Daphnia pulex: one gene and its partner. The protein of the gene in region 1 purifies or fractionates together with the protein of each later gene. This does not show direct contact. Links are inferred from orthologs where the notes say so. Each region holds a gene or a part of one and is shown in the gene's direction. Other genes may lie near its edges.

Region 1 (4,429 bases):
GCATCGAACGAATACCTTGCTTCTCCAAATACTCTTCAATCTTATTGTCGTCGATTCCGTCAACAGCAACCGAGCGCCAAAGCTTTTGAAACTCGTCGTCAATCGGCATATGCGCAGTCTTATCATTGTAAAATAGTATTTTCTTTTTGTCAATCGGTCGGGTGATATAGACTATATCCTTTTCGAGTACCTGTAATACAAATTCCGTATAAATTTGTTCAAAGGGCGTGAAAGAAAGTGTAATACATACTTTCAAAACTTTTTCATGATTTGGTAAGGATTCTTGAATATCATCAAGAAGAATGCCTCCAAAGCCCTTTAAGTCAGTCTGTCTCAGAAGCTTTAATAAGCCTTTACGATCCCTTATCCTGTAAGGAGGTTTGAACATGTATCTGCCATCAGAAGTCACATCAATTTTGGGGTTGCTACCCAAAGCTTCAGTTCTCAACCACTTTTGAAGTGACACAAGTAAATGAGTTAAAACAAAAATTTAAACCACATATTTTGAACATATTATATCACCTGAGAAATTTTCATGCCAACATCAAGTTGATTAGTTTCATCAAGAATATCCTCCAAACTTAAAGCATGATCACCTCCATCTTGATGCAATGTCTTCAAATGCTTCACAATTTTCGCCAATACACCAAATTTGTATTGTGAGCTACCTGACATGTGTTTGTAGCTAAATAAAAGAAATGTTATGCCAGCACTGTAATAACGAAATATTAAATATTTTGTTCTACTTGGTGGCATCAATTCTGGGTGCCACAGCAGTGGATTTTGGAGGTGGTTTAGGTTTCTTTTTTGTCTCATCTTCAGTTGCTTCTTTTTTCTTTTTGTTCTCAACTCTGGAAGGCAAAAGCAATGATCTTTCTATGGCGTCTAACAATAATGTATAATTTTTTAATACTTACACTGGCGTAGCGAAAGCCTTTTTCCTGAAAGCCTCGCGTTCACGTAGCAATGCAGGATCCATCTTTTTATAATGCTTAGGCCTAAATATAGAATATTAAAAACGAATAAACTTTCTAAACTGTTAAAAAACTGATGGGATCTGGATCAAACAACAAAACGTAATCCCATTCTCAAGTAAAGCAGACGTCATAACAATCACATACAGCAATGCCACATCAATCAATCCACCTTTTCATTGTTCGTAATTCTAATTTTTTTTTTTTGCCGCACTTTGGCCTGCTTCTGCTGGGGACAACGTTGGAAAATTTTTTTTAAATGTTTATGGGGAAATCATTTAAATGTAATTGATAATGTCTTGGAATCTGGATATAATCTTTGAAAATTAAGTTTACTTGATAATAATTGATTAGTGATCATACACAATTTACGAATTGACAAGAATCCCTTTCAAAGTGCCCGTGGGTGAACTTGAGCTTATTGGGAAATCTGGGATTGCACACGATACACGAAGTCGTTATTTTGGGGGAATGTTTCGTGTTTGACTATTTGCTAGCTTAAAAAGTCAAGCCTTAATTTTCCTATAGCGTTCCTCTAATTTTTTGAGAATTAAAAAAAGTTCGAGTAGCTATTTAACGACGTATAAAAGTTAAATCAAAACTTTTAGTGCTTAGTTTCCACCAGGTGGCTCGAAAGCAGAATGACGGGCAATTGGGGCAAATGAGGCAAACGCGAATTGTGTTATCAATAAGAATAAGTTAGGATTCTTCTAGTTAATGTATTTGATGCATTACTTTGAAGTGAAGAATCTATTATCTAATTTCTCGATGATAACGCCAAGTGAATAAGCCTCGCGTTTCGATTTTCAGTTACAAGTGTTTTTCGTTTAAATTGGACCAGTGTGCCCAACTTTGTTTGATCCAACTTATTTCCATCATGAGTGAAAATGCAGAAAAAAAATTGCCAGACGATTTGCCGAATATCAATTTTATGTACAAGACCATGTGTATGTTGAAAAATGTGGATGTTTTTATTCATCATCAACTAATAAAGTTTGGTGTTTATTTTTAGTGGCTCGTGATCCTAGTAAAAGAAGAGTCAAACCAACTCCAACAGTTGAATTATTTCCACTGACAATAGAGTCAGAATCAGAAGACTCTGATTTCAAACTTGAAGAAGATGACTCTGATTCAGGATCTGGCTCATCATCCGATTCTATTGATGAATCAGAACCAGAAAGTAGTGAGGAACTATCTGAATCTGAACAGAACAGCACACATGTTAATGGATCATCAACAGCTCCATTATCAGAAGGTATAAATTTTGTTTTCACTAACCAAACCCGTTCTTATTTAACTCTTTACTATTTTCTTTTTTAGTAATAAAGAGTCCTGGTGTGAAGGTACAAGAACCTATTGCCCCATGTAAAGTTACAAATTATCAATTGGTAAATATATTCCCAGAAATTTGCGGTGAAGTTTTGAAACAATCTGTATTCTTTTTGTAGCCTCCAGAAATACCACAAGTAAGAGTTTGCTGCATTTGCCTGGGTACACACAGCTCAGATGTAAATGAAGTGGTAGAATGTGACTCATGTGGTATATTAGTACATGAAGGTTAGTGAGACATTGATTCTTTTTTGTTAGGACTATTTTAAAAATAGTATTTTTAAATGTACCTTTCCATACAATAGGGTGCTATGGTGTAACTGAAAGTGGAAGTGTGTCTAGTACTGCCTCTTCATGCTCAACAGAACCATGGTTTTGTGAACCTTGCCAAGGAAATGTTATAAATCCACCTTGCCAGATGTGTCCTAACCTAGGTAAATAATCAGTTGTGGATTTGTAAAACAAAACAAACCAACAGAAATCAATAACTTTTGGGGTTTTAGGTGGAGCACTCAAAGAGACAGATACTGGACTTTGGGTTCATCTAGTCTGTGCGTTGTATACACCGGGAATTGCGTTTGGTGAATTAGACAAGTTAACTCAGGTATGGCTATACTACTTTGCTTTGTTCTTTGCCAAATTTTTTGTCTGATTCAAATTATTTTTAAGGTCACCTTGTTTGAAATGCCTTATTCTCGATGGGGTGCCAAATCGTGCTCACTTTGTTCTGATCCTTGGTTAAGTAGAACTGGGGTCTGTATCGGGTGCGACGCCGGAATGTGCCGAACATTTTTTCACGTCACTTGGTAATTCCTAGATTTCGCTTTGATGGTTTCAATATAAATTCCGATTGTATTGATGGTTTTCATTACAGTGCCCAGCGAGACGGACTTCTTTCAGAGACGTTTCATGAAGAAACCGTTCAAGCAGATCCATTCTACGCAAACTGCAGACTACACACAGAAAAAAGCACAATCAAGTATCACGATTATGGTGCTATTCATATTCGTATAGCAACTAATATATATTATTAACTGTATTATAGGAGAAGAAAACAAAATTATTTGTCTCATCAGAGACATCTAGTTTGGTGGACCAACAAGAGAAACACTGGCCGTGATATGTTGACATCAGGACAAAGTGAAGATGTGTCCCTGCGTCGGATTCTCCGCAAATTGGGGCGTCAACGAGTCAAATTCCAAACAAAACATTGGCCTCGTGCAAGTTGGGGTATTTCTCAGTGTCTTGTCGCTTTGTTTTTGTAACTTCATTAACCAATTGTACCTTTAGTTCCAACTCAAAAAATGCCTCGTTTGCTAACCACCTGTGCGTCTGCCGTGAGAAGATTACGCGCTAAAGCTGTCCTTATGGCTGTCGATGTCGAAGCGGAAGAGGTACGCGAAGCTCAAGTATCAGCGTTGGCCGACCTTCCGAAGAAATGGCACATACCACCAGCTTTCTCTGTTGAATTTATCGCTTATGTCATCGATAGAGAACGCAGAATTGCTCAACTTAAGGAACAGGTTTGTTGCGGTTTTTTTTTCCCCAATTTCTCGATTCTTTTCCGTTATATTTACCTTGATCTTGACGATTAGACAACTTCCATGAAAGAGGAATCTCGGGAACTGGATGATAGTGAAAAGCAATGGCGATTGCGGTATGATTGCCTTATTGAGGAGCAGAATTTACTTAAAAATCGGGAAACGGCTTACCGAAATCAATTGAACACGTTACATCACATTCTGTCAGCTGTTTCTCCCAAGCGTGGCTTTAATCACCCCTCAAGTCCACGACGAGGTATTGAAGAAAGCACCTCTAGTGGGCGTCGTTCCGGTCGACCTTCGTCTCCTTCAAAAATTCGGCCGAATCGAGACAGCATCGAAAGTGTTCCATCTCAGACCGAAAACTCCAACCAGAGTTCGCAAGATTTCTGGGTGGCCGATATTCGAGGTATTGTTTGTTCATCCACAGAAATGTAATTAAAAATATTAATAATAGTAATGGTTATGACTAGCGGGGCCCTCAAATCGCTTTTCGAATATGGTACAAGAAGGCCAGAGTGGATCTTCCAGCACCAATGATGTGAGTCCACGAATGGTTCTTAAGCGAGTGATGAAATCTGCCTC
Region 2 (4,513 bases), on another chromosome or scaffold:
TAGGTTAAGTAATGTAACGGACTAATGGTCCTTCTTTATTACTGGAATTGGAATAACGAGCTTTTGTCAATTTTTGTCATGGTATCGTTGTGTGTTATGGTTCTTAACCAATAGATGGCAAAAATTATGTAACAATTTTTTTTTAAATACCCAGCTACAATTTGATATGTACGGAACGGATGTAGAATCCTGATACAGTCCTTTATAAGTTAAAACTAAACTAAAACTAATGAAAATGTAAACGTATTATTCTTCTAGGTTATAGGCAAAATGCGGCCCGTATGGGATAGTGCTGAAAATAAAACTGGCTCCATCAGTGCGTTGTTTTGTTTATTTTCATTTTTTTTTTCAAACAAACAAATTCAAAGATTTTGAGTAGAACACCCATGGGTTTCCGCTAGAATTGTTTTTCCTTTATGGCCTTTAAATTCCTTCGAAATTAAAATTAAAATGAAACCCTCCATTGAATCAAGATGTTTTCTGCAAATAGTACATGAGGCTTAAACTAGTGTTACGAACTGTTATATGTATTATTCCCTTCAAAATATGTCATAATTTATTCCAACAACTCGAGTATGAAGACATCTTCGTCCAACGCCCATTGTAAAGTTTTTTTTTTTTTTCTTAGCTTGGAGAAAGAACGTGATTGGAAATTTCAAGCAGCGGTCAGTCTACCTAAAATGCATTGAACGGCTGGTGTCTTTTGTTTAGTGAAGGAGAACAAAGGCCCAAAGGGTCTTGAAACAAATTTGACCTGGGGGAAAGATACCTGGTTGGGGGAAGATCAGGACTAGCTACAATTTATTTCTATTTTTAAAAATAAAGCCGGATCCTCTGAAGTCTAAGCTCTAAGGTTTGCCGTTCGCCTGTAGTCTATGAATTCCGGCAAACTTGACGATTGTATTCTAATATCTATATTAGACGGTTCCGCTCGTGAGAATCGCAAGGTAATAAGGTATTGCACCATGAGTATAATAACCAGCGTTATTGCTGTGTCTACATGCTATTTGCTTAGCTTACGAAATAAAATGATGACACAGGTCGTGTTTCAAAATGTATTTCTTCATTGGGTAATCTTCGCTTTCTTTTTACTCGTAGTTCTGAATAGCAATGGTATAAAAGACAATATTTACGTTGGTTATGTAACCAAATCTGTAAATGAATACAAACGAAAATTACGAAAATGCTGCTTATTTAAAATTGCCAGCAAAATGTGCGTGGACTATCTGTTAATTAAATAAATTAGGGAGCAGATTGATTTCAATTACATTTGTAGAATATGATTACTGTTCCTAGCTGCAATTTTATCTGCACATTTCTAATTCGATGATATTCCGTTTTAAAAAAAAATTCACGATTAGCAAATGTAATTTCGAGTTTTCGACATCGAAAACACTCCATCTAGGTACATGTGATTTTTGACGCGGAGAAAATCAAATTTAAGCTTCTTCTGGTTATACTTTTTACTTAACAATATAATTCGAACACATATTTCATTGAAAACTTGTAATTAAAAAGAAATCGCAGATTTCAACGAATGACAATTTTGTTTAATAAAGAATGTTCAGAAATGGCGGGAAAGTGAAGCCTAGCTAGAAGGCATGTATGTATCAACGTTTCATTTGGCGCATCCCGGTAAGAAGAGGGTTCTGAAGTCCAGGCATACGCTGTGATACGCTGCTTGCTTGCTTGGCTTTTTCTTGTTCGACCTCGCCTCGTGTTGCCTTTCGTGGTCGGAATTTTTACCCTCCGAATTTAGACAATTTATCTGAAATCTCGGCCTTTTTCTGATCTACATGCATTACTCTTCGAGGTAACAGGTTTTATACGTTATATTAAGTCTTAAATATCTTGGTTTGGAGGTGCAACTGACCAGTAAATAGGACCACCAACAACATCGGTTTAATGGCGTTCAAAAGTGACGCATATCGATTAGGTTGAATTTATTAAGTCTTTTACCTCCCCCTGATAGCTTGCTAATTTGCGTTTTGTCTTGTTGTATATTTAAGTTTCAAAATTTAATGGTCTAAACTTATGATTTGTAAACATTTCCAGGTATAAGTAATGGAAGGTCATCACCAGCAGTCTAATGCAACCAATATGCACCAGCAGCACACAAATCCAGAACCAACCACTAAAAATCGTAGTGCAGGAGGAGGAGGTGCAGGCAAAACAAGTAAAAAGAGGAAAAGGAATCAAGATCTTGGTCCAGGAGCCCCTCGTCAACCTGTTAATGGTATAGATATTCTTGTCCTTGTTCACTCTAAATTTAACTATTAGACATATTTGCTTCTGAGCATCTTTGATTTTACTTCAACTTTATTCAGTTACTTATAGGGCATTCCATTGATTTTAAACATTTTTAATTTTGCAGGTTATGTACGGTTCCTAAACGAAAGAAGAGAACAAGTACGAGCTGCCAATCCAAGTGCAGGTTTTGCTGATATTATGAAAATAATGGCCCAAGAATGGACTCAACTACCTGCTGAGGAAAAGCAAAAATATATGCAAGCTGCTGAACAGGACCGTCAACGCTATCAAAAAGAATTGCAAGAATATCAACAGACAGAAGCTTACAAAAGCTATGTTCAACAGCAACAACAGCAACATGTTCAACAACAATTACATTTGCAACAACAACAAAGACAAGCTATGCAAGCTACTCATCAATCTCAGTCACAGGTAACATTGGTTTTTCCTTCTATCTGTGTACATTAATTTTTATCAAAAACACACGTCATGTACAGCAACAACCGGCGGCACATTCATCTCACAGCCAAGTCCAGGCTCAGCCATACATTCAACAAATCCAGAGTTACAACCCCCAGTTGCATATTGTCCAACATATGCAGCCAGGGCAACATCAACAGCATGGCGATAGAAGTAACAATGCCGCTGGTCACCGTCCTGATGGGTCAGGAAATCAAGTCGGTGTGTTCGACATTCCCATCTTCACGGAAGAATTTCTCGATCACAACAAAGGTACGATTATTTTAATAAAATTTCTATGTGTAGTTTGAAATGGAAATGCATTATTTTTATGTTGTTCATTTAGTTAGAATTTGATTTGTTAAGGACCTTTTGTTTCAAAAACAAATAGATTAAAAAAAACTGGTTTTCTTAAAAAACAAAAGAAGGATCTCAATTAAGATGTATTGTGTAGGACAAGTTTTTGGCTCTTATAGTTAAGAAGACTCCACCACACTGCCTTCTAGCCGTACACTACGCTCAAGGCGTGTAAAAAAGAAAAGTTACAGTTGTAGGCAGTGTGATGGATCTTGGCCTATTTTTAATCTAGTGAGCATTGCACCAATGCATGGGTCTGGCTATTCCTTCTTACCCATCACCTTGAAACCGTTTCCTTCTAACCCTGTTATGTTTGATGTGGCTTTTCAAAATGATTCAATAGTAGATGCTAAACGAGCTAAGCTGCCGATGTGTCATTTTCTCGTGTAGCGACTGGGGTGCAGGCCTTCTTCAATGCAAGAAATTTAATTGTTTTGTGAAAAGGATTTGATCCATAACTTTTTAACCACCAATGTATACTTTGAAGGATTTGAGTATATCTCATGGGGAAATGTTTTAAGATTGCGTGTATTCAGTGATAAAAATAAGTGTGGGATTTTATGCTTATTCCAAAGTTTTTACGGAATGAATAAAAGAAATTGCTGGGTTTACAATGCCATTGTGATGGTAGTGATTTCTTAGGGTAATGAAAAAGTACAAAATTGCATGCTCAAGTAAGATTTTTAGCTGTTTAAGTTGCCGAAGATTATGACACATTGGTTATTTTAAAACTATTGAGCCAAAGCCAAGTAGAATCGGAATTTTTTCCGTTGACACCAAAAATTTGTCTGGACTACCATTCCATTCAAATCATAAAGAAATTCCTTTGAACCCTTGACAACCCTGTAATGGTCCTGCCCCGTCTTAGTCCGAGAAACAGAGCTGCGGCAGCTGCGGAAAGCTTCAGCCGAGTACGAGGAGCAGAATAGCGCCCTGCGGAAGCACGTCGAGACTCTTCAAGCGGCCGTCAGTCGACTGGAAGCGGAAACAGAGCAGCAGCGACGACACAGCGCCGCGCTACAGCATCACCTCGACAGCCTGCGCGATGTGCTGGCCAACAGTTTTGCCCATTTGCCCCTTCCAGGTGAACCAACTTTCAGAATCTATTCAGATTTAAGAATGGACCAAATCTGGAAATACTAGCCTGTTTCTATATCTGATTCCAATCGAGTAGCCGCTAAGGTACGAATTTCGACAACTTTCGCTGAACTTTTTTTATCTGTCCTTTTCTTGGCACACCATTCTTGCTTTTCTTGAGAAAAAAAAGGGGGTTTGCAGTAGCCTTCGTTCATTCAATCAAGATTCAGAGTTGGTTTTGACAATTTGGTTTCCTTAAAAGTAAATCCGATCGAAATATGTAACTAAACGCTTCACGATTCCTGATGAAGGCCAGCGCTTTAACCAACGGCAATAATTTTTTGTTTCTTTTCATTTTTTCAAGGTTATA

What was found.
Region 2: the proteins of PHD finger protein 14-like (region 1) and high mobility group protein 20A-like purify together in Homo sapiens (affinity purification with mass spectrometry; 3 studies listed by BioGRID and IntAct, counting the BioPlex papers as one, with this or other methods). This does not show direct contact. The link is inferred for Daphnia pulex from reciprocal best matches to the Homo sapiens genes PHF14 and HMG20A.

Annotation. Positions count from the first base shown.
Region 1 is NC_060017.1:6,219,289-6,223,717, forward strand, and holds the start of PHD finger protein 14-like, read left to right. Parts: upstream 1-1,372; 5' UTR 1,373-1,851; coding exon 1,852-1,921; intron 1,922-1,986; coding exon 1,987-2,229; intron 2,230-2,294; coding exon 2,295-2,362; intron 2,363-2,422; coding exon 2,423-2,531; intron 2,532-2,608; coding exon 2,609-2,737; intron 2,738-2,806; coding exon 2,807-2,907; intron 2,908-2,972; coding exon 2,973-3,109; intron 3,110-3,177; coding exon 3,178-3,282; intron 3,283-3,348; coding exon 3,349-3,533; intron 3,534-3,593; coding exon 3,594-3,826; intron 3,827-3,898; coding exon 3,899-4,253; intron 4,254-4,317; coding exon 4,318-4,429. Other genes in the region: general transcription factor IIE subunit 2-like, read right to left, coding at 1-190, 251-451, 523-685, 747-851, 918-979. UniProt on the Homo sapiens protein: Histone-binding protein. Binds preferentially to unmodified histone H3 but can also bind to a lesser extent to histone H3 trimethylated at 'Lys-9' (H3K9me3) as well as to histone H3 monomethylated at 'Lys-27' (H3K27ac) and trimethylated at 'Lys-27' (H3K27me3).
Region 2 is NC_060024.1:7,607,410-7,611,922, reverse strand, and holds the start of high mobility group protein 20A-like, read left to right. Parts: upstream 1-1,620; 5' UTR 1,621-1,813; intron 1,814-2,055; 5' UTR 2,056-2,064; coding exon 2,065-2,236; intron 2,237-2,374; coding exon 2,375-2,682; intron 2,683-2,747; coding exon 2,748-2,982; intron 2,983-3,298; coding exon of another isoform or gene 3,299-3,456; exon of another isoform or gene 3,457-3,677; intron 3,678-3,934; coding exon 3,935-4,150; coding exon of another isoform or gene 4,151-4,209; exon of another isoform or gene 4,210-4,248; intron 4,249-4,507; coding exon 4,508-4,513. UniProt on the Homo sapiens protein: Plays a role in neuronal differentiation as chromatin-associated protein. Acts as inhibitor of HMG20B. Overcomes the repressive effects of the neuronal silencer REST and induces the activation of neuronal-specific genes.